Linked DNA regions of Notamacropus eugenii. The protein of the gene in region 3 interacts with the protein of the main gene of each other region in a pairwise test. Links are inferred from orthologs where the notes say so. Each region holds a gene or a part of one and is shown on either strand. Other genes may lie near its edges. The genes, in order: PHF1, GEM, PDLIM7 and ZMYND11.

Region 1 (7,234 bases), on a different chromosome or scaffold from region 3:
CACTGGAGGCAACTCCGACATTGTAGCATCTTTAGGTTCCACCTGAGAGAGAGTACCAGGTGAGGCCTGCAGTTGTTCTGCCTCCACAACCCTATCATCTGCCATCACTTTCATTACTACAACTGGGTTCCCTTCCCCCAAATCTCTCCCTAGCACCTACCTTGACTCACTGGCATCACCCCCCCCTTCAGAAAGCCTCCCCATTCCTTCCCTTCTTTCTGTGACTCACTCCCCAGGGCCCCCGCAGTAACAGTAACTCTGCTGTCGGTTGCTCAGGTGTCCTGCATCCCAGTCCAGGCCCTTCAGTCCATATGGCAAAGACAGCTTCATCCCCAGCATTGCCCGTGCGTAAGGACCTTTCTTCAGGGCACCTCCCCTCTGCAGGGACAAACACATTGAGATAGTTTGGTGGTGAAGAAAGAGAAAAGTTAAGTGACAGCTTGGGGGTAGGGTGGAAGGTCAGTGTATAGAGAGAGGTGAGTGGTATCTACCATGGGGAGGAGTGATTTCGGTACCTTGGTAGCGATGGCAAAGACACACTGCCTGCAGACCCAAGGGGATGGGCCATCTCCTTCTCCAGGGGCTGGGGCTCTTGGAATGTGGCAATCCTGGTGATATGCTGGGGGGTGAGAAGAAGGATCATGGAGGGTTGAGGGTAAAGTATTGGGAAGAATGACTAGGGGGAAGAGGTTCAGGATTATAACAAGAAAAGGGTAAAGAAGGGAAATTATGGAAAAGAAATCATAGACTGTGAAGGTGTGGTTCCCCAATAGGCTGGGAGAGGTCAAATGTCATTCCTTACCATGTCGACATTTCTCACAGCTGACCAGCCGGTTCCCAGGGACCACAGACTCAGATCGACAGACGCAGCACAGGAGCTCTTCTCCAGGGAGGGCAGCTATGAAACAGAAAAGAGAGATAAGGACTGTAAGGCTCTAGCCCCATTATTCTTAAGAGCCAAGCTTCTGTCCCCCAGTCCCTGCTTCTTTTTAGGGACCAAGCTCCCTTGCATCTCACCAGGGCTAATGTCTTTCCATAGAACAAGAAACTGGGAGTCATCTTCAAACTGTACTAGACAGACCTCCCGAGCACTATCCACCTGGGAGAGAGAAAAGGAGGTGAATGCTGAGAAAGGGACATTTGATTTGAGTCAAGAGGATGGAAAGGGAATACTAAAGTTAATGTTTCAGGAGAAAAGTGGGGTTGAGGTTGAGGTCAGAGGTTTAGATCTCACCTTCTTGATAGTTCCCAGGTAAAGGAGTCCATCAGTCCATCTGGCCAGAACATCTTGTCCCTCCCAAAGCCGGGGTCTGGTACCTGGGGAAGGGGCTGGGGGAGTGGGCTCCCAGGGTTGGGGGGCAGCAGAGCGGCTCAGCCGGGAGGGCTGCGCCATTGCATCCTGGGGAGCCTGGTAGGACAAGGGGGGAAGAGTTACCTTCCCCACCCCCAACAGCAATCACCTCTTCCTGCTTGGCTCCCCCAAGGGGACTCAAAATATTCAAGATTCCAGCTTTCTCCTTGCTTCCCCAGTTCGATATCACAAAAGCCCATAGTCTTCTCTTTCAGACCCGCACTGAGGGGGTTTCTAAGATTCGAGGGAGAGGGAGCACAGACACCTGATTCTTAGTCTCCCACCCCCAAGATTCCTCCAGGGATTGGTTCTCTCAGGGAGTTTCTCTCTTGGTTCAAGGATTTTAAGAGGATGATGGATTGGAGAAAGAGGCCTCCCCTTAGGTCCTAGTCCCACCCCTACATCCTGGCTGGCTTCATCTTGGAATTTCCCTGTCCAGAGATGTCAGAGTTCAGACAACCTGCTTTTCGGGGGGAAGGGGGTCCTCAGTAATGAGATTCCCTCCGATCCATGCTGAAGAATCTTCCTATTCCTGGATTATCTTGAGTCCCACTCCAATCTGAGGTTCTCTAACCCAGGGGTGTGGGGGTGGGGCGGATAACTTCCCGTGTAGCTAGGGAGGGGGGCGTGTCCCGGTCCCAATCTCTACTCCCCGAGATGGGGCAAACCTGGAGGTGACGTGAGGCAGCCCCCTTGCAAAAGGGGGTCTCTGCATGCATGTGATTGGAAAGGCTGGGTGGGGGGAGACGAGAGGGTGGAGGGGAGCCAGAGAAGGACCCCTCCCCCACCTAGCGCCAACGCCTCTCCCGGGGGAGGGGGGCTCCCCCGCCTGGCCCCCCCCCCTCCCAGTACTCCTTCGGCCCCCCGCCCTCTCCGCCTCCTCCTTACCGGTGACAGCTGCGGCCGCCGGGGAGCTGGGGAGGGGGAGCCGTGGGGGGGCCGGGGCGGGGGTCGAGATGTCCAGGCGTCCGGGGGAGGGGGCAGACAGAGGCTGGGGGGGTCCCCGGGCCCGGCCCCTCGGTCCCGGCTGCTCTGGGGCGTATGACGCAGCAGCCAAAGCAGCGGCGGCGGCGGCGGCGGCGGCGGCGGCAGCAGCAGGAGGAGGGAGAGGAGGAGGGAGGGAGGGAGGGGAGGGACGGACTGACTGGGGGGGGGAGGCCTGGGAGGGAGGGAGGAGCTGGGGGGAGGGGGGCGGGAACCACCTCACCCCACCCCCTACGCCTCCCGGGCGGGCCACGCGGGGTGGGGTGGGGCCGGGTGCACGCCCTCCTCCCAGGACCCAGGCGCCGAGGCCGACGGGGAATCCCTCCGAGTGGCCCCGGCCCGCCCCCGGCGGCAGGGAATCCCTGCTCGGCTCCCGCCCCGGCCCCGCCCCCGCCGCGGCCTCCGCGCCTCGCGCCACAATCCGAAACTGCCCGGGAGCCGCCCCCACCAGCCCATTCCCGCACCTTTGGCCCCCCCGCGGCCCCTACCCCCCTCCCTCTAATTGCCCACCGGCCCCGCCCCCTTCCCCCCGGTTTTGCCCACCCAGCCTCCCCCGCCAAGGCGCATGCGCGGACCCACCTCCCTCCCCCAGCTTTCCGCTCCGCGCTGGCGCGCGGCACCTGCGGAGCTGGAGCGCCCCCCTCTCCCCGCCGGGCGGGGCCGTCGGGGCTGGCGCAGCGTTCCCTCGCTCTGCTTCCCCAGGCGCAGGAGGGCGGGAGGCGCGGGGCAGTAAGGAAGGAGGAGGGCCGGAGGGGAGCGGTCGGACAATTGCCGGGGCCGGGGGCGTTAACGCAGGCAGAGCCAATGGAAAGGAAACGGGGCGGGGCCCGGGCCGTTTGAATGGGGCGCTCCAGCGGGAGCGGGCGTTGAGTCATGCATCGTCCGAGCGGTCAGCCCGGCCCGCCGCGGCCCAGGCCGGAGCTGCCAGCCCCGAGCGCGCCGCGGACCTTCCGAGTGACGGACAGACGGGGACGGTGCCAAGGGCGGCACCAGGAGATCCCTGGCCAAATCGCTCGGCCCCTTACCCCAGCTTTCCAGAAAGAAACTTCCCGGGAAAGTGGTCGAAGAAAGCCATTTCTTAAGGGCCCTTTGCCTGCATTTCCAAATACATCCCTTCTTGGGCATCAGTTCTTAAAGAACAAGGGGAGGGCAATTCAGCAAAAGTAACCAACACATAAAATCACCGAGAACATGTGCTAAGATAATTTTATTTTGTGATACATGGTTATATTCACCTAGTTATATAAACTCAGTTACCACTCTAATTAAAAATATCCCCTTAAACATACATAAAAACCACATACACGCAGGACACCAAAGATGGCCCTTCTATTTCTTGTTGGCTCGAGCAGTGCCAATAACACACTGGTTTACCTGGGAGAGGAAAAGAAGAGATGCCTGTGTCAGCACCAGAACAATTCCTTTGGGATGGATACAACCCTTCCAGACCTCCTAAGGAAATCTGGAAGCAGGTATCCAGACACTCTAGCCCGGGGAAAGAGGAGAGCTATAGTGAGCCTAACTGGCAAACAGCAAAGGGGGAGGGGCACACCCTCAAAGAGCCAGGGACTGACAGGACAGAAGTGAAAAACAAAGGACCCATGGGAGATGTCTGTACCTTGGAGGCAAATCGCAGGGAGTTGAGGGACTCTGAGAAGTTTTCTTCCAATGGGGAGATATTCACAAACATAAGCCTGGGTGGGAGAAGGGGTTTAGCACAAAGGCAACATTCTCAAGACATTCCTCCGGCCCTGGTTCACACCTGTTAGTGTTGCTTAGAGCCAGTCTGCAAGTTTCTTCCATCCTTAACAAGCTAGTCTATCAGTTCCTATTCTTACTACTCACATTTTGGCACTGCCCCTTAGAGAATTCTGCAGCAGGTACGTGAGTTTGCTGTTCCGGTATGGCACATGCGACTCCTGGGTTGTGGGGGAGATGGAGGTTACAACGGGACAAGGCAGCATTTTAATATCTCAGAACAAACGGCTCGGCTGCAATCTCCCTTGCTCCTACCTTATTGCTCAGGGCCATGATGACAAGGCCCAGTGTAGAGAGGCTGCTGTTGATGGCTTGGGTCTCCTTCAGTCGTTCTCGATCTCCAGGGCCAGTGGACAAGCCAGGATCTAGTCTTTCACTCCCAGCCAGATCTATTAGGTTGAGAGAGGCTGTACAGTGTAAGTTCTGCCCCATGTGCTTCCCTGAAATCTGCAGCTGGAACACACTGTGGCTTCGCGATGACTGCTCGTTTTGTGCTGTTCGAGCCACTGCCCGATTCTGACGAGCCAGATGGAGCAGGGATTCCACCTGAATTGGGAGAGCGAGACTGCCATTGTCAATATCTTCTCAGTGAGCACACATATATTCTTTCCCCAACTCTTGGTTTTTGTAGAACATTCCCCCACTCCCAATACCTTGCACCTAATCTGACAACTTCCCACAGCCCCAAATCTTTCCTATAACCCCCCCACTTCCCAGTCTCCTCTCCTGTCCCTTGATCTTATCCCCTCTCTGTCTACCTCATTCCCTACCTCCTCTTCGCAGGAAACGGGGACATATTGGGCATTGGTGACAATAAGCTCCTTACTTCCAGGGCCAGCCAGTCGAATCTCATACTCAGTCCCCTGGCACTTTTGGGCCCCACCCACACAGGCCAACAGGTCCCTGATGGTTTCATTGTAGATCTCCACATAGCTAGCCACAAAGGTGTAGCTCCAGCCTTGGGCCTCCAGCTTCCGGGCTACTGAAAACAGATGCCTTACAGCTCTTGGGATCAGCCCCTCAACTTGCGGGTCTCCTCCTGGCCCTCCTTCCATCGTGAATGTCTTGCCACTGCCTGTCTGGCCATAGGCAAAGATGCACACAGGGTAACCATCCAGGGCTGACTGCACAAGCAGGGAGACTTCTTCAAACACTTCATTCTGTTTGCTCCCTGGTAGGAACACTCGGTCAAAGGAGAAGTCATAGCGGGCAGGAGCACTTGGTAACCCTCCTATGATGCTACATCGATCATCACTTGGCCGAGTAAGACTGAGTCGAGTGGAAGGCTCAGAGGCTCCATTAGACCCAGGAGGAAAAAGGATGAGGCCAGGAGGTGGTGTGGGCTCTCCAGGTAGAGCAGGGCGGACTCGACAAAAAACCCGAATGTTACCCTTGAGCTCTTGCAGCTGGTTGTGCAGATACCGCCGCTCCATCTCAAGACCATGCAGATGCTCTGTCCTTGTGGCCAACAAGTCTGCCTGGGCTGTGAAATCTGCCTGACTTTTGGCCAGAGCTGCCATTGATTCTTGGAGTTGTGCCTGGCATAGGTCAGAGAGGTAAGAGAGAAAGAGGGGTTAGAAAGTATGGAGGGAAGTATTAAGAGTGGACACTGTGAGAGGGAACAGAGTAACTGGTGAGATGAGAAGGAAGAATGAAGATGGGGTAAGGCACAACAGGAAAGGATATATAGATAGAATGGAAGAAAGGGAACAAGGAGAATATTACAGATGGCAAGAAAGAGGAGAGAAAACGAAATCAAAATCAAGCTACAAGAAACTGCATGAGGCAAGGGAAATTCCTTGAAAGACACAGCTCAAAAGTGAGGGAAGGGGCCTTCAGCTCAGATGAAAACTCTGAGAAGGGAGGACACACTCCAAGACACAAGTAAAAGGGAGAAGGTCAAACATCCCCCAGCGGAGGCTCAGCAAGAATTCCATGTGAACGCACACAGGACGATGCTTTGTCCACCCAAGCGTTACTCACCTCCTGTACCTCTAGCCGAGCAGCCAGATCCCTTCGTTCTTCTTGCAACTGTAACCGCTCTTCTTGCAATGACTGAACTAGGCCCTTCTGAGTATGCAGAAGTGCTTCCAGCTCCTGGACCTGAGCCCTCAACTTCCCCAGCTCCAGCTGGTCTTGCTTAGCTTGGGCCCGAGTCTCCGTCAGATCCCCAATCAACACCTTGTTCTCAGCCTCCAGAGTTTTGGCTTGTTGATCAGCTTGCCCAAACTGGCTCCTGAGTTCCTGGTTCTCCCTGGTTAGAACCTCAGTCTGTACCTGGCAGGCACTGAACTCCTTCCGTAAGTCACACAGTTGTCCCTTCACATCCCAGGCTGGACGCTTGCTAGATCCTTTCCTTGTTTTTGTAGGGGACATTCTTGATACTAGGTATGGGAAAGAGTAGCAAGGCGAATGAAAACTCTAGCTCCTTTCTCTTCTCCTTTCAGTGAGCAACAAACACCATTAACTCCCATTCCCTCCTTTTTATCTCACAGGGGAGACAGAAATGGGCTAATGGTTTTTGTAGAGCACTCAGTACAACTGCTATTCCCTCTGTAAGTGGTACATTGCCTAACCTGAGGGATTAGATTAGCCACTTACCAGGTTTTGGTGCAGAGACAGTAGAGACTGCAGAGACTGGCTTCCTATTCTTCACATCTGTACAAAGATAAGAGATAATAATTTCAATAACATCAATTAATTTGGAGCTGATAGTGACCGACTCTTTCATTTTACAGAGCAAACTATGGTCCAGAGGTTTACCTTGCCAAAGTTCACCTAAGACATAAGCTGCAGAGCTGAGATCAAGCTCAGATTCACAGGCAGCCAAATCCCTCCATCATTCTTCCCTTTCCAACTTGTGCTTGTTTCCCTGAGATCTAGCTACTGATGCCTACTCACCTGTGGTGGCCGTTGTAGTATGCCAAGGTCCTGTTTTTAGGGGAGCCTTCTGGGCTGCGAGGAGATAAGGAAGAAGGTGATAGGGAGCATCCTCAGGGCAGTTTCTATGCAGGAAAGAATATAAGAGCCAGCCTAGGGCTGACCTCTTATTCTGAAGAGATAATATACCCGTTCCTCTCAGACATGTTCATCTCCTATTGCACGTATAACCTAAGACAGAATTACTCTGGTCATGTAATT
Region 2 (7,830 bases), on a different chromosome or scaffold from region 3:
ACTGTCGAGTACTGTTCTTGCCACTAGGAAATAAGAAATACAAGTAAAGGGGTATAGAAAGTTATTTGGCCCTACAGGACAAAAGAGAAGATGGGGACAAGGGCAGAGAGGGATGATAGAAGAGAGGGCAGATTGGTGATAGGGGCAATTAGAATGTTCGGTGTTTTGGGGTGGGGGAGGGGAAAAATGGGGAGAAAATTTGGAACCCAAAATTTTGTGAAAATGAATGTTAAAAGTTAAATAAATAAATTTAAAAAAATAAAAATAAAATAAAATAAAATCTAGCCTCACACACTTACTAGCTGTGTGGCTCTGGGCACATCACTTAACTCTGTTTGCCTCAGCTTCTTCATCCATCAAATGAACTGGAGAACCAAATGGCAAACCATTCCTATATCTTTGCCAAGAAAACCCCAAATGGGGTCACAAAGAGTCAGACACAACTAAAACAACTCAACAACAACAAATGAGTACACTATTATGTACCCACAGGAGTTACAAAGACAAAAAAAAATTGTCCTTGCCCTCAGGGATCTTCTTTTCCACTGGGAGAAGGGATATGACTGGGATATAGAAAAATAACTACCAGGAACAGCTAGGTGGCATAATGGATGGAGTTGAGGCCCTGGAGTCAGGAGGTCCTGAGTTCAAATCCAGCCTCACATACTTACTAATATGATTCTGGACAAGACATTTAATTCTAGTTGCTGGTCCTTCTCCCCCCCCAAAAGGTATGCAAATATATGCATTAATTTCTTTGCAGGGTAGAAGTACAGTAATAATAAGGGGGATCAGAAAAGACCTCATAAAGCACCAGAGATGAACCTGAAGGGAGTGAGGGATTCCGAGAGGGAGAACATCGTAGGCATGAAAAACAACCTACATAAAGGTATGGAGCTAGAAAATGGAATGTTTCATATGGGGAACAGCAATTAGGCTGTTTTTGTTTAGTTTTTTTAGAATATCAACTATGTGAAGGCAACTCATATGAAATGTCTGTAATGATAAACAGGAGCCAAACTGAAAGGCTTTCAGAAATTTCCATTTTGTCCTTGAGAGGAGAGGATAATGCTGTGAATCATAAGGGCTGGGTGGGTCCCTGGGCTGTGTATTGGAAGTGTTGCTCAAAAAGAAACTGAGCAGGGGCTCTTGATTCTTTATGGGCTTAGATAGGAGTCCTTTCTTTTCCCCTCACTGTCTAAATAAAATTTCCTGAAGTTTTGTGAGCCAAAATGCTAGTGAGGGAATTGGTGAGGTGCCAGCAATGTGAACCCTCAAGTTCCATGTGGGTCAGAGCAGTGAGGAAGATACGTGAGTGGCCCCCAAAGAGTAGCCGGATCATTGGCATCAAGACAGAGCCTTTGAGGGGAGGGTTACAGAGGGAAGCACAGGTTTACTCTGCTTCCTGTCTTCCCTCCCTTCCTTTCTCCACCTCCATTACTATACAGGGGGAATTTTCTGTTAGAATGTTATGGAGCCATCAGGATGGAGGCTGTGTCTAGAATTGTGCCTTAAAGCATTGTAGATGCTCAATAAAAATATGTCAAATTGGATTGAATTGAAACTCCACAAATAAGAATTCTTTATGAGATGAATGGGGCTTTTCCCTCTCTTTTTAGTGAATAAACCTGTGAAGATGGTGAAGCTAGTTCACAAGCGAAATTTAAAAACCCCCCACAAAGAACAACCCTTAACAAGTATATATTTCTGTGTTCTCTGCTCCTGGCAGAAGAGTGTGTGTGTGGATTGTGGTATGGGGGCATGGTGAGGTAAGTGTGGATGGGGAATTGGTCTTAATGAAGAAGGGACTTATGAAGGGATACTTGCTTTGCACAGAAAGTTGGAGTAGATGACCATTAATGTCTTCTTCCAACTTTATGATTTCATCATAGAAGATGGTTTTCTTATCGACTTATATATGCAAATTAGCTTTTCTTTTACCCCCTTTATTTATTTATTTGTTTTTGTTTTTGTTGTTGTTGTTGCTGTTGTTGTGTTCGTCCTTTGTTGCCAAAGACCATGCCATCAGAGAAATGATGACATGACTTGCACTTGACTTTGTTTTGAGTGAGGGAGGGCTGTGCAGGTCACCAGCCTCACTTCTCCCCCAGAGCCAGATATTCATCAGGATGACTGGAGAGAAAAACTTTTGAGTTTCAAATCTCTTCCTCCCTTTTTCCCCTTTCCCACCCAATGAAAAGGCAAGCAATATGATATCAATTTTACACATGAAGTCAGGCAAAACATATTTACATGTTAGTTATCCCCCCCCAAAAAAATAAAAGGCAAGAAAAATAAAGAAAGTGAAAAAAGTACCCTTCACTCTGCACTCAGAATTTATCAGTTCTCTCTCTGGAGGTGAATAGTATTTTTAATCATGGACTCTCTGGAATTGTCTTGGTTCCATTGTCTCAATCAGAGTAGCTAAGTCTTTTACAGGTAATAATCATGACAATATTGCTGTTACTATGAGCAATGTTCTCCTGGTCCTGCTTCACTTTGTATCAGTTCCCCAGATTCTTCTGAAACCATCTCTCTTCATTTCTGATAACACTTAAATTAATTCAGGCTGCTTATTGGAAGGACAAATGCTAAAACTGAAGCTTAAATACTTTGGTGACATAATGAGGAGACAGGACTAATTGGAAAAGACCGTGGTTTTGGAAAAGATTGAAGGAAGAAGTAAAAGGGGACAACAGAGGATGAGATGGAGAGATAGTATCAATGAACATGAGCTTGGACAGACTTTGGGAGATATTGGAGGATAGAAGGATCTGGTGTGCTATGGTCCATAGGGTCAGAAGAAGTCAGACACAACTGAACATCACAATCATTTATCATGATTTGTTCAGTCATTCCCCAGCTGGTGGGTAGCCCCTCTATTTCTAATTCTTTGCCCTCACAAAAAGAATCATTATAAATATTTTTTGGTCCACATAGGTCCCTTCACTTTTTCTTTGTTCTCTTTGGGGTACAGACCTAGTATTTATCTGGAGATGTCCACATCAGAACAATTGGAAGTCTGGAGTGAGAGAAAGAAGCCTAGAAGAATGTTTTCCATGTCCATGGGTTAGAACTGGTAGCTGCAGAGTTGTTATCTGTAATCAGTTATTGTCTTTTAGTGACTGCAAACTCAATATGAGTCAAGAGTGTGACATGGCAGCCAAAAAAATAAATGTGATTTTCAGCTGCCTTAACAGAAGCATAGTGTGCAGAATGAAGGATGGGATAGTTCTGCTGTTGTACTCTGCCTTAATCAGACACCATCTGGAATATTGTGTCCTGTTATGGCATGCCACGTTTTAGGAAGGACACTGATAGTCTGGTTGCATGTCTAGAGAATGGCAAGTAGAAAGTGAGGGGAACTGGAGACCATGCCATAAAAATGTTAGTTGAAGGAAATGGAAAATATTTTCTAAGATTCTTGAGAGTTAGATATTGTTTCATATTTGCTCTTGTATCCCCAGCCCCAAGCATGGTGTCTGATGCAGAGTAGATGCTTAATAAATGCTTGTTGATTGATCTGGAGAAGTCTTTGTGGAGGGAGCTTGAGAGATATCTTAAAATTATCTGGAGGAATAGCATATGGAAAAGGGATTAGATTTATTTTGTTCAGTCCCAGAGCCACGACTCGTAGCACTGGGTGAAAAATGAAGAAAAGCAAGTTTATGCTCCATGTAAGGAAGGACTCCCCTCAATCAGAACTATTCAGAAGTGGACCAAGCTGCCTTAGAAGGTGGTGAGGTTCTCATTGATGGAGACCTTTCAGTGGAAGCTGTGTGATCACTTGCCAGGGAAGTGGTTCAGCAGATTGCTGCTCAAGCAGGGTTCTATTAGATACCTCCTTGAAGTCCTTTCCAAATTCTGACATTCTGTGACTTTTGGGACTTTTGGGACTGTTGGAATAGAATCTGTGGTCTATAATAGATGTGTATGACTGGTTGGATAGAAGAAAAGATGTATTTGAATGGTGTTTCAATAACTCTTCTCTCTTCAGCAACTAGTCATTCAGGATAATCCACAGTGCAGATAAATCACCCACAGATAACCAAAAAAATTGACTGTAGTTTCCTTTAAATTGGAGGAACATTTGAACTTGGCTACTGAGATAGCTGCAGTGCCTTTTGGCTCCTTCTACAACTCATTGGCCAAGCCAGGAGCAAAGTTAGCTAGAGGAAAAGAATGATACATTGAAAATGTCCTGAGTCATCTCCCAATAGGGCATCTGGGGAAATTCAGGTGTCCTCTAAGAAGGGATAATTTAGGTGCATTTGCCTGTAGATTAGGACTGACATCACATGCACACTATTCAAAGGAATCCCTTAGGTGCCTTGGGTTGAAGGAGAAGTCATTCCTGCCCCTGGCTAATGGCTTTGGCCTCACGCCTGAAGTACTGATTGATGTGTCTAGGGATTATTGCAGAGACGATGATGATGACTGAGGTTCTGATCAAATGCCCTGACGCTATAATGCCCTGCAACTGATTTCGGGGGTTTGTCATCTAGTAAGGTGGGCAGAGGCAAGTAGGGAGGGTCAGGGGAATTTACCACAATCTGTTTGGATATCTCATTGTTTCCTTCCCTAAACCGTCCTCTTTGAAGCTCTCTGTGTCTCCCCTTCTCCCCCTTTTCCTCATTTTCCGCAGAAAGAGCAGAGAATCATGAATAGCTCCCCGGCTGTCCCCACTCTTTTTTTCTTGGGCCGAAGAGGGGGTAAAACGAGACACGAGGCTGTTACTTCCATCAGAAGATGCGGCTAAAATAAATGTTTCCCTTCTCTTTCCCCCTCATCCCCCTCTTCCTCCCACCCTTTCTCCAGGTGGCTGCAGATTCATGATTCGGAGGCTGGATGTTCCAGCACCTAGGGCTGATCGATGCTGTCGTGACAAAGCAGAATGAATGGAGCCCCAGCTCCACTTTGCAAATCAGCCCCGAGCCTTTGTGTATCCTTCATCTGGGCAGCTCTCGAGTACATTGCCGGGAAAGACGATTAAGTGACACTTGGAGTATTTTTCCATTTTCTTGTTTTCACCTTGTAAAAAAAAAAAAGTCACAGGATCTGCTTCCCTGGCACTCTGGAAAAGCGGGTGGAGGTTTGGAGAGGGAGGGGGGAAGAAAAATCATATGACTGCAAGTAACTGATTTTGTGTTCGTTGGGAGCGTCTGCAACTTTGGGCTTCTCTGCATACCCGTTTCCTCCCAGCGGGGGGCCGCCTGCTCTGTGGCCAGGGCAGTGACGTCACGGAAAAGCCCTGCCTGATCAGATGTGCTTAATATAAACCTGGGGGAGCCGAGCAACGGCTGGAGAGAGTCAGCCAGTGGGAAGGAGAGGAGTTTACTCCAGCAGAGCGGCGCACCAGCCTGCGCTCACTTGCTTGCTCGTTCGTTCGCTCGCTCCAGCGTGAAGAAGAGATTCCCCAGGATCCCGCGGCTGTCTTGACTGGAAGGGACTGTGAAAAGTCAGGTAGCGTGTGTGTAAGTGTGTATGTATGAACACTCTTGGGAGGCTAAGCTGGAACGTGGGGATCTATCGGAGGCCAGAGCCCCCTCTGCAGTGAAGGGGTGCGGATGGATGGGACGAGGATGCATGGGATACGCGGCTCGGGGAGTAGTAAATGCGGCTTCCTCTGCCAACCTGAACTTTTTAAGTAGTGAAAAGTGATCTTAGAGTCTATGATCCAGGCTCGAAATGTTCAAAAAAAGAGAAAAGAACTTAAGATGAGGATAATGACAATTCTTTTTTTGGACAGAGGGGAATGATACTATTAATTTGTACCAATTTTCAAGGCAGATGGGCAGACGGATGGTGATGATGTCTTGTGTTTCTCCCCCTCCCAGCAAAAACAAAGCAAAACCAAACAAAACCCTGCCACTTTGGCTTACTGTTCTTATATGTCTTTGATCAGCTTGTCTGGAGACTGATAACGCCTGTAGTGACTTCTTGGTCAATGTATTTCTTGCTACCGAGAATGAATTTTGCGGAGGAAAAAATGTAAATGCTCCACTCTAGGTACTATCTGAGTTCACAAAACTCCAGGAAAGAGGAAGGGAGCTACAATACAGTAGCCTAGAAGCTGTAGTGGACTTGTTAGAGTGCTGATCATTCTACAAATTTTATAGTTAAGGAGGGATTTTAGAGCTCAGGCAATCCAACCCCCCTTGTTACAGATGAGGAAATTCAGACGAGAGCAGAGAAATGACTTCCTCCAAGGTCGCACAGCTTGGAAGTGTGAGAAGAGAGATTTGAAGTCATTCAAGTCAAATACCATCCATTACTTCCTCATGTCTTTCTGATGCCCAATGGGCCATTTTTTTTTCACTATCTGTTTTCTATGATTGAGGCTTCCAGAAGATTAAAAAACTTCGTTTAATTAATGAGAAATCTCAACAGGACTTAGTGAAAAGCCATGTGCATGGGCATGTTTGATAGTTTTGGAAGCAACTGAATGCACATTTAATGCCAGAATAGTGATCATCAGGGTGGTGTATTTTTTTTAAAGGCATGCCAGTGAGCAGACAGCAATGTTGAGGCATAAACCTCAGAGAGAAACATTAAAATAATAGCCTCAGCAGCTGGAGAGCATCAAAGCAATGTGACTAAACATGGTAGTTCCAATGTATATACTGCTCAAGCAGAAGGGCAATGATGTCATTGCCGTAGGTTTCCAACCAAGGCAAAGCAGGCTGATGGATAGGTCAGTGCAATTAAGTGCAGAATGAGCTGGAAAGATAACTTGGTCCCTGGTCTGCTGCTCCTCAGAATCCCTCACTTGTGGATTTAAAGGGAGTAGGATTTTTTTTTTTTAGTGTGTTTGTGACTTTGACATCCTTAGGATCAACTCATTATTAGCCCTCAGGAGCTAAGAAGCAGCTTAATATGGTAGAGAGAGCACTGGGTTTGGTGCCAGAGGTTCTGAAAATCACTTGACTTCTCTGTGCCTTAGTTTCTTCTTCTGTAAAACCAGTGACTTAGAATACATGACTTTCTAATTCTAAAAGTATGACCTATCTGGGGAGTACTCATCCCTCTATGATCCATCCGTGGTGCCTTTTCCCTTCCCTTAGAAATGACACCTAGAGCTGTTTCACTGCCTGAAATAGATGAGAAATCCTACTCCTAGGAGTATGACTGAGCAATTCAGACTTGGACCACTCAGAGCTCAGGTTTGTTTCATTGGTACCTTGTTTCTTGGGGATTTGTAGTTCTCATTTCATGAAAAAAAAATGGATGAAACTCCAACTACATAATCCTGGTGTTCTGTTTGCTCCCCAGGAACCAACAATGACTCTGAACAATGTCACCATGCGCCGAAGCAGTACGGCCCTGCAGGCACAGCAGCAGCGCTGGAGCATCCCTGCCGATGGGAGGCACCTGATGGTCCAGAAAGACCCCCACTCATACAACAACCGCAACCGATACTCCATGAACCCAGAAGACTATTACCGGCGAAGTTGGTCATCTGACTCCACAGATTCAGTCATTTCCTCTGAGTCTGGAAATACATACTATCGAGTGGTGCTGATTGGGGAACATGGTGTGGGCAAGTCTACCCTGGCCAACATCTTTGCAGGTGTGACTGACAGCATGGACAGTGACTGTGAGGTATTGGGAGGTAGGTAGTTAAGTGTTGAACTGTCTCTAGTCAACAGGCCCACATCAGCATTAAAGCAGAGCATAATAGCTGGGCTACTTATCAGTAGGGTTTAGAACTGAGATAATTCTTCTTGCCACTAACTGGTATGTAAAAGTCACAAGTCTCTGGTTCAAGCCCTGTGGACCAGAAAGAGTAAAATAACCATTGACAAAGATCAAAATCTTCTGAATCTTGGC
Region 3 (7,174 bases):
AGGATAATTTAATTCGACAGGATTTATTTAGTGACTGTGACATTTATTTATAGAATGCATATAGAATGCAGGGCTCTATGTTAGGCAATGGGGACATAACGATGAAAATTCATGGGACTGTAATTTTAGAGCTGGTAGGGACTTTAGGGGTCACCTTGTCCATAATCAACCGCACTTTGTAGCTGAAGAACGTGAGCCTGAAAGTGCTGAAGTGATTTCACCCAAGGTCTCACAGTGAGCAAGTGGTACCAGAGCCAGGATTTGAACTCAGGTTTCTGACTCAGAATCTAGCATGCTCTTACATTACAACGTGGTGCCATAATTCCTGCCTTCAGAAGGAGTAGTATGTGTTTTGTGGTTATTGCTCCGTAGTGTCTGACTCTTTGTGATCCCATTTGGGGTTTTCTTGGCAAAGACACTGGAGTGGCTTGCCATTTCCTTCTCCAGCTCATTTTTTTTTTTTTTGTGGGGGGGGACAGTAGGAATCAAATGACTTGCCAAGGGTCACACAATTAGTGTCTGAGGCTAGATTTGAATTCAGGTCTTCTTGACTCCAGGCTGAGCACTCTATCTACTATGCCACCTAGCTGCCTCTAGTATATGTACCCAGATAAATATAATCCAAGATAGAATATGATAGGGGCAAAGAAAAAGGTCCAAATGCTCTAGGAAAATCTGAGAGGGTTCACTATCTGAGGGATGCATCAAAAAATGCTTTGGGGAGGAGGCTGACTGATACACAGATGCATTCTAGGCACAGGAGACAGCCAGGTGAACAGGCCTGAAGATGAAAGATGGTATTGTTGCTTGTGAGGAACAGAGAGAAGGCCATGGCCATTTTTGTACTTTGGAAGTTTTTCCATTTTCTCTATGTTGCTAGTACAGTCCCCTTGAAAAAGCTTACAACTGGGAACATGTACACTAAGGCTAGGAGAATCAGTGGTATCAGCAATCCCTAGAGGTCAGACAGGGACTGGGGGCAGTGGGAAAGACAGAAAGGCTTGCCCTGCTCCACCCTTACCATCAAATAAAGAGATCAGACCCTGCTGCTACCCACTGAACACCTTCACCCAGTCTCCCACCAATAACTAAAATCCAAGGGAGGTAGAGATGAGTTTGAAGGAGAGATCCAGGCAAATTGCTAGGAGAAATGTGAAAAGGGAGAGAGAGAGAAAGACAGAGAGAATCAGTTTTACCTGATGAGGGGGGGGTAAGGCATCAGGGAAGGAAGCCTTCATGGAAGTGGTGACACCTGAGTTGGCCCTTCAAAGAAGTGGAGTATTTCAACAGATATGTGGAGGTGGGGGTGTGGGATGGTTTTGAGTGAAGATCAACATCTTTGGTCAAACCCAATTCTAGCCCCTTCTGAGGGTGTTTTTGTTTTTTTTTAACTTTTTTCAAGGGGTCTCTACCCCTCTAGACAAGAGTAGAGAGGGGAGAGACTAGGGGATAGACCAGGGGTGGCCTTGAGGCCACATGTAGCTTGAATTCAATCAAAGGGTTACATTTGAGGGCCTAGAAGGCCACATGTAGCCTTGAGGCCAAAGGTTCCTCACCCCTGGATAGACCAATTAAAGTATCCATTGCAATAGTCCTGGCAAGAATGATCAGGCAAGGGTTGAACTATGACCCTATAAGTGAAAAGAAGGGGATGGATCCAAGGTACATTACAGAGGTAGAATCAACAAGATTTGGCAACTGGTCAGGGAGAGGGAAGGAAGAAGAGCCAAGAAGAACTCTGGTAGTATCACAGACAAAGTAGGGAAGGCTGGGGAAGGGGCAGTCTAGGCAGAAAGCAGCCCTGTGGGTAGAGGCCCCTTGGGAAAAAGTTAAAAAAACAAAAACATCCTCAGAAGGGGCTAGGATTGGGTTTGACTGAAGATGCTGATCTCAGAGCTAGAGGGACCACAGAGGGTCTCTAGTAATAAATTAAAAAAAAAAAAAGAAATAAAAATAAATAAAAAATAGAAGCTCCTCACAACCTGCCCTGCCCCCTTGCTTCTGACTGAAGACCTCCAGTGATGGAGAGCTCATTGCTTTCCTGCCTGGATTATTCTCTGTAGCTAGGTCTCCATCCAGGCAACTGCCTCAACTTGCTTTGCCTTGAATGAGTTTGGAGAAGTCCATAGATTCTCTAAGATCCCAGTCCTTTTTTTTGGGGGGGGGGGGAGAGGTCAGAAGGAGATAGAGCCCATGCTCCACTCTTCATTCCTAGTCTTCTGTCTTCTCCCCATTTTTATGTCTTCACTCAAAACCATCCCACACCCCCACCTCCACATATCTGTTGAAATACTCCACTTCTTTGAAGGGCCAACTCAGGTGTCACCACTTCCATGAAGGCTTCCTTCCCTGATGCCTTATCCCCTCATCAGGTAAAACTGATTCTCTCTGTCTTTCTCTCTCTCTCCCTTTTCACATTTCTCCTAGCAATTTGTCTGGATCTCTCCTTCAAACTCATCTCTACCTCCCTTGGATTTTAGTTATTGGTGGGAGACTGGGTGAAGGTGTTCAGCGGGTAGCAGCAGGGTCTGATCTCTTCGTTCCATTATAATCACCTTGAAGGTAGGACTGTCCTCAGCGTATAATCGGGTGTTTGATAAAGTTGGCTGAATCAAACTGAGCTGATTATAGGGATACAGTCAGCTAGACATAGATCTCTCAGTCAGCTTCGAGCAGCACTTAACAGAAGCAAGGGTTATTTTTTTTTCGGGGGGGGTGGGGGGCAGGTTACTTCCTTGAGGAGGGGTGGAGGATGAGGGAAAGTTTCTTGGAGGAGACATATAGTGTTTGTCTGGTAGGAAGGGAGCTGAGGGGGAGGGGACACTTGGGGGTGGTTTGTTGTGGCCAAAGCCTTTGGAGGGTGCCTGGAGATTGGTACCAGGGAACAGGGCAATGCAGTCAGTGAAAAGACTTCTAGATGTTATGTAACTACAAAAACCTGGAAACAACCAAAATGTCCAACAACCGAAGAATTCAAGAAATCATGGTATATTTGTAATGGAATTCTATGTCATAAGACCCACAAGTTAAGAACACAAAGAAATCTCTGGAAAGACCTTTAAGAAAAAACGGCAAAGTAGAGAAAGCAGAAGAATGGAATACTTACTTCTATGACCATATAAGACAAAAAGTGAATGAGAATGAATAGACAAAGAAGGAATTCTGAGGTGAACTGAGAGGGAGTGACCCAAAAATTCTTATGATTCTTCATTTTGAAATTGATTAAAATATTTTATTTATATCTTTTGTTTTTACATCACATTCCTCTCCAGACATATTCCTTCCTCCTTGTGCCCAGAGAAACATCCCTTGTAACAAAGGATTAAAAAAACCCAGAAGAGTAGTGAAGTCCAACTAATCAGTACATCGACAAAGCCTAACCATGTGTGCCACGTGCTGCACCTACAGGGTCCCCCACCCCCAGTAATTGATTTGAATGTAAACAGTTACTAAACAAGTTTCTGCGGTCATCTTGAGGGTCGATTTTAAGCTTTTTTAAAAAATTATTTTATTTTCAGCACTGCCTTCTCTCTCTCTCCCCTCCTCCTCCTCTTTTGGGAAAGCAAGAAAAACATTTTACAAATATGTAGAGTCAAGAAAAACAAATTCCCTCCCTGGCGACGTCAAAAACACAAGGGCTCAAGCTCCAAGTCTTGACGTTTTTACCCTGTCCCCCCTTTTAAGTCTAGGCAGGAAGTCGGGAGATCTGGGCTCTCATTAGGGTCTGCTCCCGGGAATCCTGGATAGAGCCTGAACTGGCAGAAGGCAGCTCTTGGTGCGGACGCTGCGTCCGAGCACTGCTCAGCTGGGTGACCGGACCAGTCCCTGAACCTGGCCGAGTCTCAGGTGCCCCGTGAAATAAAGGAGAGTGCGCTCGAGGACCTGCGGGAGCCAGGGCCAGCCCTGCCACCCCGCTGCAAAGAGAAGTCCACCCGAGCTGCTCGCTCTCGGGGCATGCAGGCCCAGGCGCGGAGCTCCCGGGGAGCGTCCACCTCGCCCTCGGGCATCCTCCGGGGCTCGGCCCGCAGGGGCGGGGAAGGTGGGAAGGGCGCGGTCGCTCCCGGACTCTTCGGGTCCCCCCCGGGCCGCCCGAGACAAAGCGGGAGAAGGGGCGGGGCTCGGACGGGGGCGGGGCATCGGGGGCGGGGCCTCCCAGACCCGCCCCCGGGAGCTCAAAGGCGGTGGCGGCGGCTCCGGGCGGAGCCAGAGCGCGCCGGGGCCGGCCCGAAGCGGCTCGAGTGCGCGCAGCCCGCGGTCCCCACGGCGCCCCCGACGCCCCGAGCGCTGCCAGGTAACCGGCGGTGGGCAGCGGGCGCGGGCTTTCCCGAGCGCGGAGCCACGCGGCTGCCGCTGCCGCCCCCGCCTCTGCCCCGGGGCTCCCGCTCCGGGCACCCCGCCCTGTCCGGCCCGGGGCTTCGGGCTCAGGCTGGGGCGAGAGCAGCCCCGTGTCAGGGCCCGGCCGGCGGCCCCGCCCCGGGAACTGGGAGGGAGGCAGGGAGGGAGTCGCCCCGAGCACCCCCCATCCCGGGGGCGGTGGGGGAGCTGCTGAGTCCGCTTCTCCCGGAGGGCGGGCGGGCCTGGAGACTCCGGGAACCACCGGACCCCTTCTCCTTTCCTCCCCGAGCTGCGGTGGGGGACTGATGGACAGCCCCAGTCTTCCTTCCCTCGGTGGGGGGATGGGTGGCTGACCCTCGGTCCCTCCCCGGGGAGGGGGCTGACATCGCTGGGGGGATTGGAGGCGCCGCCTGGAGCCGGTCCGTTTACCTTCTTGGGAGGCGAAGGCGCTGACTTAGCTTTCTCGGCTCTCCCCGATGGGGGAGGGGGTGCCGGGACGCACTTATCTGTCAGTTCTTCTCCTCTGCTACCAGCCTGCCTTGCTTGTCCTACCTCTCCCAGAGGCTCCGGAAGTCTCGTGAGGATGCTGACCTCCGGACGTGAGCTTCTGCCCTTTCTCTTCGGGGGATCGGAAGGCACCTCCAAGGCCATCTATGGTCCGACCCTCTCATTTTACAGATGAGGAAACTGAGCCTCAGGGGGGGGTTAGATGACTTGCCACAGGCTCAGACCCCTCCTGTCCTTTCTCAGGGAGAGGGAATATCTTTCATCTAATGTCTGGGAGACCTACCCTTAGGCAGTGGTACCCTTCCAGTCCACAAGACTGTTGGACAGTACATTTTAACAGGCTTCTGGGGAAACTGAGGCAGGAGGGCTAAGGGAACTTCTGGCCATATTATATATCTGGCCTGCCTTATATTGGCAGCAGCTTTCCTGGCCTAATAGTTACCTAGGTGTTAGTCCTTTCCTACCCTGAGAAGCAGGCCCTCAAATGTCAGGACCCCCACACACACCTCTAGCCTGGAAGGGTGTTGAGCACTAGGCTTGTTTGTCTTAGTTCTAGGCCACCCTTCCCCATGTTCCCTAGGGGCTCTTCAGAAAAAGAAGCAGGCCCTTTCCCTCCTCAGAGTCAACAACACATCTCCTAGGCCTGGTCTCCTTTCCTCTGAGATCAGCTGTCAGCTCAAAGGGTTCCCTCCTTCTCTTCCTGTCTTGGCTGGGGGAACAGCCAAGGCTGGGATGGGCTCCAGTCCCCTCCCCCACAATCTCTCTTCCCTTCAACCCCCCCCCCCCTCGTCCCTGAGCCCCCAACGTGCAGTATCGGCTTTCATGCCTTATATAGCCTGAGTGAGGCCTCTATGTTTCACTCTGGCCTGCCCCCACTCTGACCCTGCTCTCACCCAGAGGCTCAGGGGGTGGGGCTGGGTGGGGGTAGAGGAGAGTTTTTTGGGCTCTCCCCATCCCTGACTCTAGAAGACTACTTCCCATTGGATTCTCAGGGGACCCTTAAGCAGAACCCCTTACTTAGTGGGGGATGTTGTCAGGGGAGAAAACAATCCAGGTTAGAGATGAACTTTCTCAGGGCCTGAGCAGTTCCTTCTCTTTCCCTTAAGCAGGTCGAAGTCCTCGACTCGATGTCTGTCCATCTGGCATCTGGCCCGATGTCTGTATGTCCACTGTCAGGAACCAGTCAGCCTGCGTGCCTCAGCTGAATCTTTTCTATTTTTCCTTCAGGAACAAATCAGCTGGCACCATGAATCCATACAAGGTGACGCTGGATGGGCCAGCTCCATGGGGTTTCCGGTTACAAGGGGGCAAGGACTTCAACGTGCCCCTCTCCATCTCTCGGGTGAGACAAGAACTTACCTCCTCGTTGAATGAGGGTGGGGCAGTAGGTATTAATGTGTTCTTTCTGGGAGTTGGCATAGGAAGCAAAAAGAATGGGGCCATTGATGGTTGTTCTAGTGGGCAGGAGGATGATGATTCCAGGTCATACAAGAGTGCAGACAGGGTTTGGGACTTTGCACTTGGGACTGGGTTTGAATCTTGGCCCTACTACTACCTACATCAGTGACCTTGGGCAAGTCATTTAACCTCTGACTCTATAAAATGGGGGATAACATGACCTATCTAAAAGGGTATCATGAGGAAATAGTTTTCTTAGTGCACTGGTTGGTTTTTGGAGTCAAAAGGCCTAAACTGGAATTCAGCTCTGCTACTTATTCTGTGTGTGTGACCTAGGGCATATCAAGTTCTAGACTTGTAGCATTTTTTGTAAATTTTATAGTGCTTTAACTATGGAAAGTATCATTTGTTGAATTTTGTTTGGGCAGATGGGCTCTGCTGAGTACTAAGGGTGAGATGGAAATGGATAAAATTTGGTCAGTGGCACACAGTGGGTCTGGAGTCAGGAAGAGTTCAAATCTCTCCTCAGACACTTGGTAGCTGTGTGACCCTGGGTAAGGTACTTTGCTTGCCTCGGTTTCTTCAACTGTAAAATGGAGATAATATCGCAGCCTACCATGTAGGGTTGTGAGGATCACTTGAGATATTTGTAAAGCACTTAGCATAGTACCTGGCACACAGTAGGTGCTGTATAAATACTCATTCCTTTCCCCTTCCCTTTGTTCTGCCCCTCAAAAGCTTGCATGACACATCTGCAAATCCATAGATTATTCAAGCTAGAAGGGGACGTTAGAGATCATCTGATGTAACACCCTCATTTTCTCTGTGAAGAAAAGGGAGCCCATCGAGGGGATGTGACACAGCCAGAGTCACACATTTGTCAGTGACATCACTGAGCCTCTGTTTCAGGTCTCCCAATTCCCAGCCTTCCCTT
Region 4 (7,209 bases), on a different chromosome or scaffold from region 3:
GAAATTACTAAGAACTTAGCTACATTATCTTTTCTGACCTTTGAATTCCTAATTTAGGCTATCATAAAAAAAAAAAAAAAGAGTTAACACAATGATTGTAAGCCAAGCAGCAGACCACTCTACCAAAACTGGTCAGTTAACATTAAGCAGAATACTCCTGCAAAGGGTCTTGGATATGTTAGTAACTCAGCTGGTATGTTTCAGTGGTTTTTATTCTGAAATCAAAACTACAAATGGATCCTTGTCTAGGAAAGACACAACTTTCAAAACCAAGAGCTACTTCCCCAACATCTTGCAAGTAAATGTAATTGTATCCCAAGACTGCTCCCCCTAAATGATCTTACCTCCCCCAAGTCTGGTAAAGTTTGTTTGATGCCTTTTAACAAAGTCTGAATTAAAACTCACAAAACTCATTTTATATGGAAGGGGAGAACTATTAAAAGTTTTTTTCTTCAAAAACTAATTTTAGGACAAAAAGATAATAATAAAATCGTTTATTAAAGTGATGTAGTGCCAGATCCCTCCTTTTAAATGCCAGAGAGACTGAAAACTCCAAGTCCTCTAAAAGTGTAAACCAATATCGCCTTTTTCTCTAATTCCACCTGCTTCATAATTTTCCTTCATGGGAATGTAACACCATCTTACAAATGACCAGTTTCATATTTTCACGATGGGCTTTCACCACTGACCCAAAGTTCTTGTAAAATACTTCTGGCGTCACACAGATCCTTAGTAGCCAGAGATTCGGTCTAAAGGACAAAACTCAGGTCAAACAATCAAAGTACACACAACTTAAAAGGCTTCGGAAGCCCGGGGTGGGGGGGAAGGACCTCCTCCAAGAGGTCAGGGGCAGCCAGAGCCAACTGACCACGCAGCTTTTCTTCCAAAGACTGTCCTCCTTCCTTTTAACTCCATCAGAACCCTGGCAAGTCCAGACAGGGACGAGGGGCTTCTCTCTCAAAAACACAAACATCGTTTTCCTTAAACGCTCCCCAAGGGGTGGAAGTACACTTGCTTGTCACCAGGTGGGTGAGGGAACGCGGGGAACTTTTATTATCTGCCTTTAAAGGCGTGAGCAAAGCGGGGACCTGTTGAAGGAGCAGGGCGAGGAGGGCGCCGCCAGGCCCCGCGGCAGGAAGCCCCGCTCGTGCCCACGTCCTTCGGGGCCCCGCGGCGGCAGCTGCCGTGCCTTGCCCGACAACGAGCCGCGCCGGCCGGCCCCGGCGGCCGCCCTCCTCCCCTCCCCTTCCCCCACACATACAGATCCATGTTCCCGGAGGGTGGAGGGGGGCTCCCGGGGCAGGGTCCGGGCTACCGGACGGAGCGCGGCCGGCCCTCGGCCTCCACGCGACGCCCCGGCTTTCCCGCTGCCGACCAGGCCTCGGCGCGGTTCTTGCAAGGGAAGCTTTTCCCACCGTTCTTTGAAAGCCACGGGGGAGAAGGGGAGGGTATGCGGGGGGGGGGGGTCACTCCTCTCACCCCTCCAAAAAATAAAAAAAGACACCGGTCCAGAAGCCCCGACACGAGGATGCGCCGCCCCCTCCCCGGGCCGGGGAGCGCCCCCCCCGCGCTGCCCCGCGCGGCTCCAGCGGCCAACTTCGGCGGGGGCCCCAGGGAGCGAGCGGGAGGAGGGCAGATGGCGGGGCTGGGCGCGGGGTCAGGGCCACAACAAGGCGGGGACCCCCGCCCCCCGGGGCTGCTCCTCCCAGCCGTCACCACTGCCGCCTCGGGCTCCTTCAGGGCCCCCCCAGCGCGCGCGCACACGCACACTCACACGCACACACACACACTCACACACACTCACTCCCGCCCATCGCCCTCCTTCCTTCCTTCCCCCTCTTCCCAGCTCCGGGGACAGCACGACAGGGAAGGGCGGGAAGGAGCGGGGGGCGGCCTGCCCGCGGGGGGGGTCAGACCCCCGCGGCCGCCGCCCTCCCCTCCCTCGCCCTCCCGGCGGGGCCCGCGGGCCCGGGGCTCGGGAGTTTGGAAGGCGCCATGTTGATAATCCTCCATCACACCACCCGCCCCGGGAGAGAGAAGGCGAGAGACCCGAGGCGGGGGGGCGGGAGAGCAGCCGCGACAATGGAGGACGAGAAGGCAGGGGCGGCGGGGAGGGCGCGCGCGGGGGCCGCCCCGGGGCGGCGGGGGCAGAGTCCGCCCGGCGGGGCCCCCTCGGCCCGGCCGCCCCAGCCCCAGCCTCCCCCTCGGTCCGCCCGCCTCTTCCCCACTTACAGCGTCGCTCCGCTCCTCACCTGGTGCTGCGGCGGCGGCGGCGGCGGCGCGCGGGCGGGCGGGCGGGAGGGCGGCGGGCTGGCTCCCGAGCCGAGGGAGGGGAGGGAGGGAGCGAGCGAGCGCGGAGGGCGCGGGGAGCGAGGAGGGAGGGAAGGAGGGAGGGGGCCGGGGGAGGGGGGGCGAGAAGTTGGGAGGCGCGCCCGCCGGCCTGCCTGGCTGCCGGGGGAAACTTTTCAATCCCGTCCCCAGGCCGCTGCTGCCTCCCCCTTCACATGTTGGTTTTGTGTGCGTGCGTGTGTGTGTGTCTGCGTGTGCGTGTGTTTTCCTCCCCTCCCCCTCCTTCCTTCCCTCCCTCCTCCCCGCTCCCTCCCTCGCTCTCCCTCTCCCTCGCCCCCCCCTGGAGTTTTATTGTGTCTGATCCCCCTCCCCCCGTGTCCACAGGTCAGGTTTCTCGGGGTAAACAGGGTTGGTTTCCGAGGGGGCGAGAAGGCGCAGCCGCCGCGTGGGGAGAAGGGGAACTCTAGCGGCTGCCTCCGGACCTGCTTCCTTCCCCGAGCACGGATTTTTTTTTACGTGTATTTATACGATGAAAATAAATCTGCATTTACACCCAGGCTCCCCGAGCTCCCGCCCCACCCCCCCTCCTCACTTCTGGAGTGCCTCCTCTCGGGTGGATTCTGTGGCACGTGCGAAGAACCTCTCGTGCACACTCGGGTAGTAACGGAGAGCGACCCTAGGCGGACAGGGACCGGGAGCTGGCTTTCTCATTGTTCGTCGTGGCCGCGGTCAGAGAGGTGGCGGGTGTGCGTGGTTCTGGCCGGGCCGGGGTTCAACGGGATTACGCTGCCGTGTGTGTGTCCGTGGTGTTCGTGTTTGTGTGCCCGTGGGAGGTCTCTCCCAGCCCCTCGCAGGCATTCGTCTTTAAATCACCCGACTCTGGGGGAGAGGTTCAGGACCCGATGTAGGAGGTGTAGCCCGAGAAGTGGAAGGTCCCCTAGTCCCAGGCTCGGATGCGGAAAGATCTGCTGGTACATCTCATGTTAGCAAGGCCGGCACAAACAAGGATTAGAGGAGGAGATTGTTCTTTACAATCGCCAGGTGTAAATTAGGCCACGAGAAATCTTGATGTTCAGTTCAGGAAGGTAAGGGAGCAGGTGAGCTTGGCTTTGTACATCTTGGACTCCTTCCTGAATGCCTGTCGTTTAGGGCCCTGTGACCAAAAACCTTTTTTTTTCCGTCTCTTACCTGGTTATTAAATCTGATACTGTGACTGGAAGGCAGTTGGTCAGGGAGAGGCATCATTTTTAAGCCAACTCATCATCCTTCCGCCAAGCTTTAAAGATTGGGTTGGAACTTGGAAGAACAGAAGTGTATAGACGTGCTTGTCTGTCCACCCTGCCTTACTAGGTGGTCTGCTTCAGGGATGGAACAAATATTACCATAGCCTGGCCTATTAAGTGATTCCCAACCTTGATTTACTTATACCGCTGGAGGTTTCTGGCTATCTCATGAGACATCCCAAAATTCTGGAAACAAAATTAATTTGAAGAACATGCCACCCTACACTTTTGGAGATGGTATTGAGGAGTTATCAGAAAAATTAAGACAAAGAAAAGGTGTGAAGAAAAGGTGTAGCAGTATCAAAAGGAACAGGAGAAATTAATTCCACTACTGGCTAATGAAAGTAAATAAATCAACTTGTATGCAATTCAAATTCTCAGTCTATGAAATGGTGGAAATAGTTGGCCCCAAGTATTTCAAAAATAGTTACATTATTTCATTTTAGTGTATACATAGACACACAGATAAGCTACATTGTGTTTGTGTTAAAAAAAGGTATAAGAAAAACTGTCACATAAATTCAAGTTTCAATCCAATTATGTCTTGCAAATTACTTCAATTTTTATCTGTTGCTTTTCTCATCACCGACTAATTCATTTGTGTGTATTTTCACTATATATCACTGTTCTGTGACTTTTCCCCTGAAATTAACCTGATAATTTTCCCTTCAGAGTATGATGTTTTTTGACCCACTACACTCACCAGCAGCTAATCTCTCCTCAGTCTGGGGTTTGGGGGAAGAAAGCAGCACCCAACCCTGTCTACCTCCACTTTGGAAAGAGGATGATTGAAGGACAGAGGTAGAAAAAATAGAGATGAAGTTTGAAAGGCACAAAGGGTACTTAGGAATCAATGAATCAGAGAATATTAAATTTGGAAGGGACCTTAAAGAAAAACACCCAAAGGGTGAAATGAGTTCACAGTTAATTTAGTACACTCAAGCTGAAATTAGAAGTCACATCTCATGACATCTAGTCCACTGTGTTTTCTACTCTCAGAAATAGTTAACAGAAAATACAGCTATCTGAAGGACTAGGTAATTACCTCTTTTCACTCCCCCGCCCTCCAAAAAAGTTTGCTTCCTGGCAGTAGGAAATGATAGCTAGACAGACAGACAGAGAGAGAGACAGATAGACAAATAGACGGATAGATAGATAGATAGATGATAGATAGATAGAGATGACTTTGGAACCAGGAAGACCTGTGTTCATGTTCTACCACTGACTGGTACTGTGAGTGAACCTGGGCAAGTCACTTTAATCTCTCAGTGCTCTAGGCACAACTCTGCAAATTACACCCAAGGTCTGAACTGCGTTGGTTGATGAGGTTTCTTTATTTCAGAAAGCCCTCTATCAATGGAATCAGCCCCTATGACTATCCCAATCCTTGTGACCACCCACCTCACACACATATACCTCAAACCCTGTATTACTGCATAAGCCGCTTCTGGTTTAATCTAAAGGCCATCCTTAGGCTTTCCAGAATTCACCTTAAAAACTGTAGTCCACAAACCAGCTCCGTTTTTATTACAAAAATTATGATATACATGTATCCATATGTACATATACAAATTATGACATTTCTCATTTTATAGGAAATAAATTCAAAGTTCAAAAAGTTAATATATACAATATCCTTGTAAATTTCAATAATAATGAACTTTTATATAGTATTTTAAGATTGATGTTCAGTCATTTCAGTCATGTTTGACTCTTCATGATCCCATTTGGGGTTTTCTTGGCAAAGATACTAGAGTGGCTTGCCATTTCCTTCTCCAGTTCATTTTGCGGATGAGGAAACTGAGGCAAATAGGGATAAATGACCCAAGGGTCACACAGCTAGCAAATGTCTGAGGCTAGATTTGAACTCAGGGAGATGAGTCTTTCTGATTCCAGCCCCCAACTCTCTCCACTGTTCCAACTAGCTATCCATTTTAAGATTAGCAAAGCAATTTAAAGACATTATACAATTTGATTATTACATAAATGATATATTCCTACTGGGGAAAAATGGTTGAGAGACCAGGTTCACAACTTTGGGGGAGAAAAAGGTTAAGACAGTAGCCTAGACCCACTTGCTGGATCTTTTCTAATGCTGAAATATTCTAATGCTGAATAGATTGAATTTTCAGTATTCCAAATTGCCAGTCAACATATGATGTATTCTCATCTAGAAATCTTAAATTGGAACCCAGTGTAGTAAGACTGTGAATGAACTCCATGTGCTATCTCTGGGGTATTTTTGGAGTTAACTCTTGGATGATGCCACTGGCAACAGTTAAAAAAAAAAAAGACAGTCTTCTCCATTCAACAAACATTTTAGATAAGTACCTTCAATACACAAAGCACAGTGACAGGACCTGATAGAACTGCAAAGATAGAAGAGGGTACCCTGCTCTCAAGCAGGCTAGAAGAGGATATGACATGCACAGAAATAACCATAATTCAAACTCAAATAGATAAGGGAAGTACAAAGTGCTGTGAGATGTAACACCACACTGAATCCTAGACTCTCCTTTTCTTCTCTAAAAGCAATACTAACTTAGAGTTTTATAGGACTTTTCAAAAATGCTTTTCTCATGACAGCACTACTACTGGTGCTGTGGTGTGTTATTATCTCCATTTTCCAGATGAGAAAACTGAAGAACAGAATTGTGGAGTCTTGTGCATCACCACACAGGCAAAAGTCCAAACTCTGACCCAGGTGTCCTGATTTCAAACACTGTTCTTTCTAACATCACCTTGTGTGTAGTGCAATATGCACAGATAATTTCAAGTCCTTGACTAAATTTTATTATACTGTGATAGAACTGGAGGACAGATTGTAATATAGTTGACATAAATCACAGGTGTAGACTCACATTACTGAGCCTAGTTTTAAGCAAGGCTTTCCATGCATTCTGTATACTTACACTCTCCCATTCTAGTGTCAAATGCTGTCCTTTCCATCTAACATTGCTTACTTTCAGTCCTAGTTTAAACTATTATCTTTTTACTCTATTTTTAGTGGCTCAAGGAACAGAGTTCTTTCCTATCTGAGTTCTTGATTCCCCACCTCCCTACTTTATTTTTGCTTCTGGTGGCAATTGTTGTGTCTTTTAGCCTGTCAGCTTTATGGGACTCATTCAATGAGTTAGAGAGGAGACAGATCTCTTCTGCCCATTCCCTAACTTGTAGCAGCAAATATTCTCTAGAGAGCTGATGAATGGTTTTGGCATGCCAATAAAAGGTGAGAGCAAAACCCAATATACTAGTTTGATACCTGTGTATACCCACACGTACATATATGTACACACATGCGTATGTGTATATATGTATATTTGTGTGAATGTATATATGTATATATACCCCAGTGGGGTTTATTGATAAATATGCTACAGCTGGCTAGATGTCTATGGATAGCAAATAAGTGGAATGTGAATGCTTCCACAGACTCCTTGGATCCTTCCTGAGAAAAGGGACATAGTCCATATGCTGATGTGAGCACCAGCCTCTTCTGAAGCAATGGAATTTAAGGCTAGATTGTTCTTGCTTAGATAGAGTAAAATCTCTTCCTCTGACAAAATTATCAGCTATGCCCTTGATAGTTTGGAAGTGCTAGTTGCCCAGGATATGGTGCCAGAACCTGTAAAGATTC

The links.
Region 1: the proteins of PDLIM7 (region 3) and PHF1 interact in binary tests that used the Homo sapiens proteins (3 or more experiments, as listed by UniProt). The two-hybrid records come from large-scale screens. The link is inferred for Notamacropus eugenii from reciprocal best matches to the Homo sapiens genes PDLIM7 and PHF1.
Region 2: the proteins of PDLIM7 (region 3) and GEM interact in binary tests that used the Homo sapiens proteins (3 or more experiments, as listed by UniProt). The two-hybrid records come from large-scale screens. The link is inferred for Notamacropus eugenii from reciprocal best matches to the Homo sapiens genes PDLIM7 and GEM.
Region 4: the proteins of PDLIM7 (region 3) and ZMYND11 interact in a two-hybrid assay, tested with the Homo sapiens proteins (2 studies listed by BioGRID). The link is inferred for Notamacropus eugenii from reciprocal best matches to the Homo sapiens genes PDLIM7 and ZMYND11.

Annotation. Positions count from the first base shown.
Region 1 is NC_092873.1:89,405,624-89,412,857, reverse strand, and holds the start of PHF1 (PHD finger protein 1), read right to left. Parts: upstream 3,002-7,234; 5' UTR 2,915-3,001; intron 2,540-2,914; exon of another isoform or gene 2,240-2,539; intron 2,131-2,239; exon of another isoform or gene 1,812-2,130; intron 1,409-1,811; 5' UTR 1,394-1,408; coding exon 1,235-1,393; intron 1,100-1,234; coding exon 1,018-1,099; intron 899-1,017; coding exon 803-898; intron 620-802; coding exon 516-619; intron 379-515; coding exon 230-378; intron 43-229; coding exon 1-42. Other genes in the region: kinesin-like protein KIFC1, read right to left, coding at 3,665-3,709, 3,954-4,029, 4,181-4,254, 4,349-4,639, 4,864-5,631, 6,077-6,477, 6,695-6,751, 6,995-7,048. UniProt on the Homo sapiens protein: Polycomb group (PcG) that specifically binds histone H3 trimethylated at 'Lys-36' (H3K36me3) and recruits the PRC2 complex. Involved in DNA damage response and is recruited at double-strand breaks (DSBs).
Region 2 is NC_092875.1:158,863,387-158,871,216, forward strand, and holds the start of GEM (GTP-binding protein GEM), read left to right. Parts: upstream 1-4,818; 5' UTR 4,819-5,463; exon of another isoform or gene 5,464-5,474; intron 5,475-7,064; 5' UTR 7,065-7,100; coding exon 7,101-7,163; intron 7,164-7,272; coding exon 7,273-7,612; intron 7,613-7,830. UniProt on the Homo sapiens protein: Could be a regulatory protein, possibly participating in receptor-mediated signal transduction at the plasma membrane. Has guanine nucleotide-binding activity but undetectable intrinsic GTPase activity.
Region 3 is NC_092872.1:414,318,162-414,325,335, forward strand, and holds the start of PDLIM7 (PDZ and LIM domain protein 7), read left to right. Parts: upstream 1-4,163; 5' UTR 4,164-4,291; intron 4,292-4,868; 5' UTR 4,869-4,934; exon of another isoform or gene 4,935-4,991; intron 4,992-5,700; exon of another isoform or gene 5,701-5,896; intron 5,897-6,069; 5' UTR 6,070-6,088; coding exon 6,089-6,184; intron 6,185-7,174. UniProt on the Homo sapiens protein: May function as a scaffold on which the coordinated assembly of proteins can occur. May play a role as an adapter that, via its PDZ domain, localizes LIM-binding proteins to actin filaments of both skeletal muscle and nonmuscle tissues.
Region 4 is NC_092874.1:84,121,827-84,129,035, forward strand, and holds the start of ZMYND11 (zinc finger MYND domain-containing protein 11), read right to left. Parts: upstream 3,020-7,209; 5' UTR 2,882-3,019; intron 2,392-2,881; exon of another isoform or gene 2,233-2,391; intron 1-2,232. UniProt on the Homo sapiens protein: Chromatin reader that specifically recognizes and binds histone H3.3 trimethylated at 'Lys-36' (H3.3K36me3) and regulates RNA polymerase II elongation. Does not bind other histone H3 subtypes (H3.1 or H3.2).